2 linked regions of the Kluyveromyces lactis genome follow. The protein of the gene in region 1 interacts with the protein of each later gene in a biochemical or structural test. Links are inferred from orthologs where the notes say so. Each region holds a gene or a part of one and is shown in the gene's direction. Other genes may lie near its edges.

Region 1 (4,526 bases):
TTTGTCCCAATGACTATCCATGAACATGACAGCAGCTTGAGAAGTGTTATAGTTGTCATTAAATGGTGCACCATATCTTTCTAATTCCTTCATAGCTATACCAAATAAGCCACCTGCATCTTTTGCATTAGGATTCTGTTGTGCGATATTAATATCTCTTAGCTCCACGGTAGTCTTCTCACTTTTTAGAATATGAATCTTAACGGTGTTTCTTAACTCGTCATCCTTTAGGAGGGTATCCTTCGTGAATTCTTCCACGAATCGGAAAGTTCTTTGACCGACGCCGTTACGAACCATTTGTTCATTAGTGAAAGCTTGCATGATCCGTGCACCAGTTCTCAATTTCTTTATGGCCAAATCGAGACCGTTACCACCCTCCTTACGAATCTGTACAGCTGGTGCATCATATTTCAGAGGAGAATCTTTAGCGAGTAGTAGACATAGATGAATTGGCGGGTTCTGTAACAATGGTACGTATTGAATAGTTAATTGCGCCGTAGAATTGTCATTTCCAGTGAACCATAGTAAGTTTTCACCAGGAGTCAAAGAAATAATGCACTTGAATCCGTGGTTGTTAACGGGAAACGTTAAGGGAGGGAGCTGCGAATGATGCACTTGGACAGAATTGGCATTTGTATTTATATTTCCGTGGACAATAAGTGCGGGTGTATGAACCTCTTCTCCGTTCTTGATGTTGTAAAATTGGATTTGGGACATCACTTGATTTAATTAAGGGTATTCTATGGTGTACCAGTGGGAAAAAGAAGCAGATTTGAGTGTCAGTCACAGGTATTAGCTGAATTACCAGTGTAGAACCTTATGATATCGAATACTAGGAACAATGGATGGATTGCTCGTATTTAAAATCGTTTTACCTTCGAGACATCTTGTTTAAAGATCTGATCCAAAATCTACGCACATTGTAAATAAAATAAGCAGACCTCGAACTTTCATATCACGTGATATAGCAAGGTTTATATCTCTAAATATCCATCAACAAATAAAGCACTGCATAACCACAGGTAGGTTCGTTAAAGCCCGTACAGTGTCTGGAGGGAGTATCAGTGACCCACAATCTGCCCGAAAGTTTTATCTTCTACAATGACCACGTCGACATTAATTACTTAACTATGTGATTCTGAGAGAACACGAACTATGATGTTACCCGAATATTATTATTAAAATCTGACAGCTGTCAATATACAAATACGAACTGCAGCATACAATACACATATGTCAATGATCAAAGAAATACAATATATGTAGCTAACATCGACTGAGCAATTGGCTAATAAAGCAGCAACCATATACATACGCTGGAAAAAGCCTCTCAAACCGCGTCAGTTTATTTAGCAGTTATCTTGAAAGGAAACCAAATAAAAAAAAAATTTCAAAAATCCAAAAACCCAAATTTCGATTCTTCGACAATAACAAAACGGGCCGAAAATTATAAAAACAATACACACATTTGATATTCAATTGCCATCGATTGAGGCATCTACTCTTTTGGATCTTCAACTTGGTAGAGTCAATAACTGTGTCAGGATCTAGGCGACTTATCAGAAGTTTATAAAGGAGAAGGCTCTTTGCATTGTATTTTTTGCAGATAAAAGAGAAAGAGTTACAGACAATCGAGTGATACAGGAGATCAAATTATACTGAACCATGTCACACCATAAGAAGCGTGTTTATCCTCAGGCTCAGTACCAAATTGCAGAAGGGATTGCACAGCCAATTGTTGGTGGAGGTGTTCCTCCGCAAACTGTAGGTGCTGGACAGCCGCAATTTCTGACTCCTGCTCAACAACATTTGCATCAACAGATCGACCAAGCAAGTAACGGCATTGGTAATATGCAATTACACAACGTTCCTGTGGTTGATCCTACTGCATTCCAGCAAGCTGGAACCCCGGTGCAACAACCACCATACGGTGGGGCTCCTCAATATGGCCAGCCAATGAACAGTGGCTACGGCGCCGATAACATATCCGGTGTTCAGCAGCAGTATCAGCAGCCAATGCAACAGCCGTATGGGCAAACGTACGGACAACAGCAGCAGCAACCACAATATCAACAACCAGGAGTAGGAATGGCTGTGGGTAAACCAATGAATCAATTGTACCCAGTTGATTTGTTCCAAGAATTGCCTCCTCCAATCACTGACTTGTCTTTGCCTCCACCACCGTTGATGCTCCCTCCAGAGAAGATGATTGTTCCTAACGATACAGTTAACAATTGTTCTGACCATTTAAGGTGCACTTTGAACGCCGTTCCAAAAAACAATTCTTTACTGAAAAAATCGAAACTACCATTAGCTATGGTTATCAGACCATACACTAAGTTAACCGACTCTGAATGTCCAGTGCCAACTAGCGAAGACGGTGTTGTGGTTCGTTGTAGACGTTGTCGTGCCTACTTGAACCCCTTCGTACAAGTAATCGAGAATGGTTTACGTTGGAGATGTAACTTCTGTAACTTGGCGAACAACTTCCCTCAAGCAATTGATATGAATGGTAACCGTTACGAGAGACCCGAATTCAACCATTCTGTTGTGGATTTCGTTGCTCCTAAAGAATACGCTGTCAGACCACCACCACCATCCACTTACGCTTTCATTTTGGACGTTTCTCAGGCATCAATCAAGAATGGCTTGTTGGCTACTGCTGCAAGAACTCTCTTGGAAAGCTTGGATACCATTCCAAACCATGATGAGAGAACAAGAATCTCTATTATTTGTGTTGATCAATCTCTACATTACTTCCGTATTCCTTTGGACGAAGAAGGTGACAACATTAAGATGTACGACGTCGCTGACTTGGATGAACCATTCTTACCTTCTCCCACTGGCCTATTGGTTCCACTAATTGAGGCTAGAAGCAACATTGAAAAATTATTGACTAGCTTACCAGAAATTTTCCAACAAAATATTCAACCAAGATTTGCCTTGGCCTCTGCTCTAAAGTCTGCTTTGAACTTGATCAGAGCTCAGGGTGGTAAGATTATTGTTGTTGGTGCCACTTTGGCCAACGTCGGTGAAGGTACATTACATAAGAGAAATGAAAAGGCTGTTGCAAATACTTCCAAGGAAGCTTCCACTTTATTGAACACTGGTGACGCATTCTACAAATCTTTCCCTATCGAATGTAACAAATATCAAGTTACGGTGGATATGTTTATGGCTTCCGACGATTATGTCGATATCGCATCTATCTCTAACCTAGGCCGTTTCACTGGTGGCCAAACCCATTTCTACCCTGGTTTCAGTGCCTTAAACTTGATCGATGTTACAAAGTTCTCAAAAGAATTTTCAAAACACGTATCCATGGATCTATCTTTGGAAGCTGTTATGAGAGCTCGTGGTTCGTCAGGCTTGAAAATGACCGGATTTTACGGTCATTTCTTCAATAGATCTTCAGACTTGTGCGCTTTGGCTACGGTTCCAAGGGACCAATCATACGTTTTTGAAATTGGTATCGATGAACAATTAACAAAGGACTTTGTGTACATTCAAATTGCTTTATTATTGACATCCAATGCTGCCCAAAGAAGAATTAGAGTCATAACTATTGGTATTCCAACTACTGATAAGCTAACTGAAGTCTATGCTTCTGCAGATCAGTTGGCCATCACAGCATACTTCGCTCAAAAGGCTGTGGAAAGAGCTCCTTCTTCTGGCTTTGAAGACACTAGAGAATTTTTCAACAAATCTGTCCAAGAGGTTTTGGCTACATACAAGAAAGAAGTTTTGACTTCAAACACAGGTGGCGGAGCTCCATTAATGCTCTGTAGTAACCTAAGAATGTGGCCTCTATTGATGCATTCTCTAACTAAACATATGGCTTTCCGTTCTGGTATTGTTCCGGCTGATCACAGAGCTCAAGCATTAAATAATCTTGAAACGTTACCATTGCCATATTTGATTCAAAACATTTATCCAACAGTATACTCCTTACATGACATGCCTGACGAAGCTGGTCTTCCCGATGAAGAAACTGGTGAAATTGTACTACCGCAACCAATTAACTCCACCTCGTCTTTATTGGAAAGATACGGTCTGTATTTAATCGACACAGGATTGGACATGTTCTTATGGATTGGCGGTGATGCTGTCCCAGAGCTTGTTACAGACGTGTTTGGAACCCCGGACATTATGGAAATTCCAATTGGTAAAAATGAACTACCTCTATTAGACGCTACTGAGTTCAACCTAAGAGTGAGGAATGTTATTACAAAGATAAGAGAACACGATGATGTTATCTTCTACAAAACCTTGCACATTGTCAGAGGCGCCTCACCAAGTGAACCAATGAACCATCCTTCTGCCAGGGAAGTTGCTTCTCTAAGATTATGGACTGCATCTCAGTTGGTCGAAGATAAGGTCCAAAACAGCTGGAACTACAGAGAATTCTTACAAAACATGAAGACAAGAATCTCGAAGTAAGTTTAAAAGGTGCTTCCAAGTTGCGTACATACCATTTTTTATGTAGATATTGAAACCATGAAATAGCAAAATCTTACTTTGCACAC
Region 2 (4,426 bases), about 150 kb from region 1:
TATTTGATGGTCTTTTAATCATCAATAAAGCACTATTGCTGTAATTCTACTTGGAAACTTCACCTATGGTCCGGGAACTGGTTAAATTTCGTTATGTTCTGGTGTAAATGTTGTATTGAAACGATTATTCATTATCCTTAACTAAAATATGTCAATTTAAATGTTGCGCTGCGTAGACTAAAAATATTCAGATGGGTATTCGCATATACAATTAAATGGGTCTATATACAATATGTGGAGTATTTCGACAAAGCTTCACAGTGAAGGATCTTTTTACACCTGTAAATGCAAATCTCAATGTTCTTTTGCATCGACTGTCCCCACTCTCTGGTCATTACCCTTGGATTGCCAACAATCTTTGAACAGTTTCATTTCACCAAGACACTGTCTCCAATCATTAGTCTCTGCATGGCAAAGTTGTAAAGCTAGATTCTCTACGTAACAGCCTGTGTTCGATATTCTCTTGTCCCAGGCATCAGGATCTTCTTTATCCATATCCTGATACTCCGCTAATGCTTCCTTGTAGTATTTTGATTCTCCTGCAGACATAATTGAAAGTATGAAGCTACGACAGAATAATTGCTATTGACTCGGTCAACGTATCACTGTAGACTGTGATAGTCGTTTCAAGATTAACTGTTGCATGTACTATTGCACTTATTGTATTGTATTCTACTAAATTAACCATTTATACTTCAGTGTTTTTACTTTTCCAATTAAACCTTGCTCTCGATTGTTCTTTATGGCCACTGAACTAATTTTCCGTTCCAAAAGCTTGATTGAGCTACAAAAGGTTTAATGACTATTAATATAAGAAAAGAAAGCTGTGTTAAAAAACGTCAGAGATCCCCAAACTGCAATACAACACTATTGATCTATGTAATAAACGACCAGGCTGCGGTTTGCGTTGGCGTAATTGCACCGGGAGATCACGTGATATAAATGCTTTCAAGATTATGCAATCTCCAGGCACACAACATATTCAGTACTTAGTGCGGGATACCTACTATAAACTCAATAATTGTACAGTAACATAGGTAGTAAGATCCCTTTTCGAGTATACATTGTCCATGTTGTTGTCCCTTTGGATGGTGTCTCGCCTAATTTTGGGCCAGATCTCGACTGCAAAAAAATAATTTGCTGAAGTTTTTATAAATGATGGGAACTGAAGAAACCAAAGAAATTGAAGATTCAAAATATGTAAACCGAATTTTAGGAAAACAACAGCTTGTTCTGATCTTTTTCAGAAGAATAAAAGGTGGCTAAACAGTGTTACACGTAGCATTGAGTTTGCGCATCAATATTAGCTAATACCCGTGTGATAACTTGAAGCAATGGTGAAGCTAGCTGAGTATCCGCGTACGGCTACGTTTTCATGGTCTCACGATAGGGTGCCAGTTTTGGCGACTGGTCCTGCATCTGGAGCCATTGATGCTGATTTTTCAAGTACTTCGACATTAGAACTATGGTCGCTATTGTCTTTTGATGGGTCTAAACCTAGTGGATCTGTTGTCGCTGACGGTAAGTTCAACGATTTGGATTGGTCGGGCGATGACAAAATAATTGCTGGTGCCTTAGAAAATGGTGTTGTTGAGTTTTTCGATCCAAAAGCCTTGAAATCTGTTGCTAAGATCCATAAACATCAGGGTCCTGTCAAGACATTGAAGTTCAATGCCAAACAGAACAATGTTCTTGTCTCTGGTGGCACTCAAGGTGAAATCTTTGTTTGGGATTCAAACAAGATCGGATCTTCAGATTATTCTCCTTTTTCGGCTGGTATCAGTAATACTCCAATCGATGAAGTTTCCTCGTTGTCATGGAACCAATCGTTGGCACATGTGTTTGCATCAGCCAGTTCTTCAGGGTATGCATCTGTGTGGGATTTAAAGGCAAAGAAACAAGTTTTGCATTTGAACCACAGTTCCTCTACCACTGGTATTAAGGTCCCATTGACGGTTGTTGACTGGCATCCAACCAGCTCTACCATTATTGCAACCGCCTCTAGCTCAGATACAGAACCTCTTGTCCTAACGTGGGATCTAAGAAATGCTCATGTACCATTGAAAGTGCTATCACAAGGACATTCAAAGGGTGTTTTATCGTTGGATTGGTGCAAACAAGATGAAAATCTATTGTTATCCAGTGGTCGTGATAACACTTCGGTGTTATGGAATCCGCAAGAAGGCTCCATCTTAACTCAGTTCGCTCCACGTGGTAACTGGGTCTTTAAATCCAAATTTGCTCCTGAAGCTCCAGATTTATTTGCATCCGCATCCTTTGATAGTAAGATCGTCGTTCAAACGTTGCAAAATTTGAGCAATACCTTGGATGCTCAGGCAAATGAGAGTAAGCAACATGCTTCTGAGGATGAATTCTGGAACAATGTAACCTCCAACTCAGTTGATGACAAACCTAACACTGTCAAGATCCAAGCCCCAAAATGGTACGGCAACAAATCTCCTGCCGCTCAATGGGCATTCGGTGGTAAGCTGGTTAGAATATCCGATGATGGTAAAGGTGTCAGTGTAGTAAAACCTTGTATTTCTGGACTGGAAAAGAATCAGCTTTTCGATGAGTCCTTGAAATCCAAGGACTTCGTGAAATTGATCAATAAGAGATTATCACAAAAGATCAACGCAACAAACGAAGATGACTGGAATTTACTAGAGAATCTATCTATGGATGGAACTGCACTTTACTTGAAAGATGCATTATCATTAGATGATGCCAAAGAAGACATCATCAAAAAGTCAGAAGAAGATGGTGCTGACTTCTTCAACCAACTAAACGACAAATTCGTTCCCGAAGGCGCTTTCAAGCTTGATTTTTCTGAATCAATGAAACCACTCACTAACTTTTTGATCAAAGGTGATTTGAAATCTGCTTTAAATCAGGCTTTAGAGAAGGACTTGTTATTAGAGGCTTTGGTGATCGCTATTACTTCCAATGATGCCTTGTTGGCGGATAAAGCGAAGAACGCCTACTTTTCCAAGCATTCTGAGCAATCTGGGTTGGCAAGAACTTTATTCTCTGTTGCTCAACGCGATGTTGAAGATATTGTTACAAACATCGATGTTTCTCAATGGAAAGATGCTGTTCAGTTCATTTTCAACTACACCAAGGAAGATATCTCAAAGAAAAATTCACTTTTAGTAAAATTAGGTGATAGATTACTACACGAGGGAAACAGAAAAGATGCTATTTTATTATATTTGAGCGGCCAGTCCTTGGAAAGCATTGCGTCAATTTGGCTGAAAGAATTCCCTGAACTTGAAAATCAATTGACGTCTCAAAAGGACACCTTATACGAGGCCCATCTGGAATGTTTAACTGAATTTGTGGAAAGGTTCACCGTGTTATCTGACTACCTTGACAAAGGTACTGTTAAATTAACTAATCAAACGCTAATCTCAAAGTTTTTGGAATTCGTCAATGTCACAGCTGCCAATGGCGATTTCGAGCTTTCATTAAGATTTTTGGAAACTTTACCGGACGATAACGAAGAGGTTAAAAGTGAAAAGCAACGTGTGCTGATTGCCTCCGGTAAAACAAGTACTACTAGGTCAACAGAAAGGACAGCAAACAGTACCCTACAATCCAGACAAGGAAGATACGGTTCAACTTCCGTACCAACTGCCAATGGTGCGCCTCGTTTATCAAACTCTGGAATTCCTCCCCCAAATCCTTTGGCTGCTCCTCATCAGCCTCCTGCCTCAACTGCTCCAAATGTCGTCCCAAGAAAGCCAAGCTTCGTTCCACAGACAACTTCTGCAATTCCAACACCCAATCCATATGCTCCGGCTGCGGTAAATCAGCAAATTCCTCTATCTGTTGTGGGTTCCAGACCATCTTACACGCCACCAGTGAACCCATATGCACAAACTGCTACAAGTATCCCACCTAACCCATATGCCCCACTACCTGTGGCAGCGCCTGTACCACTTGGCTCTCCAGTCGCTCCGCCACCAATTTCCGGTGCTAGTGGATATTCTGGTCAAACGCCTCATCTACATGATAAACCAATCGACGGTTGGAATGATCTCCCATCAGTAAGCAAAGAAAAACCAACCCGTGCCAAGGCTGTCAACACAGCTCCAATTGGCATGTCAACTCCATCGTATGGTACCCCCGATCTTGCAGCGGTTCCACTTTCGAGAGCATCTACAAACTCAACGCTCCCACCACCACCGCCTAATGTGAGAAGAACACCAAAGCTTACTTCCCCACCCGAAGTTGCATCTCCTCCGCTACCATTAAAAAAGACGAACTCTTATGCGCCTACTGTCAGCGCTGTACAATCTTCTCAAATGCCACAGCAAATATCAAATCCTTTAATGCCTCCAGCTTCTCCAAACCCGGCTACAAACGGAAGGTCTTTTGTTCCTCCTGTAAATCCTTACAGTCCTGCTCCATCTGCAGTCACGCC

The links. The genes of interacting proteins can lie anywhere in the genome.
Region 2: the proteins of KLLA0_F03729g (region 1) and SEC31 form a complex in vitro, tested with the Saccharomyces cerevisiae proteins (2 studies listed by BioGRID). The link is inferred for Kluyveromyces lactis from reciprocal best matches to the Saccharomyces cerevisiae genes SEC24 and SEC31.

Annotation. Positions count from the first base shown.
Region 1 is NC_006042.1:351,630-356,155, reverse strand, and holds KLLA0_F03729g (uncharacterized protein), read left to right. Parts: upstream 1-1,665; coding exon 1,666-4,440; downstream 4,441-4,526. Other genes in the region: KLLA0_F03751g (putative metalloendopeptidase), read right to left, coding at 1-717. UniProt on the Saccharomyces cerevisiae protein: Component of the coat protein complex II (COPII) which promotes the formation of transport vesicles from the endoplasmic reticulum (ER).
Region 2 is NC_006042.1:504,673-509,098, forward strand, and holds the start of SEC31 (Sec31p), read left to right. Parts: upstream 1-1,334; coding exon 1,335-4,426. Other genes in the region: SCM3 (Scm3p), read right to left, coding at 1-22; COA4 (Coa4p), read right to left, coding at 295-549. UniProt on the Saccharomyces cerevisiae protein: Component of the coat protein complex II (COPII) which promotes the formation of transport vesicles from the endoplasmic reticulum (ER).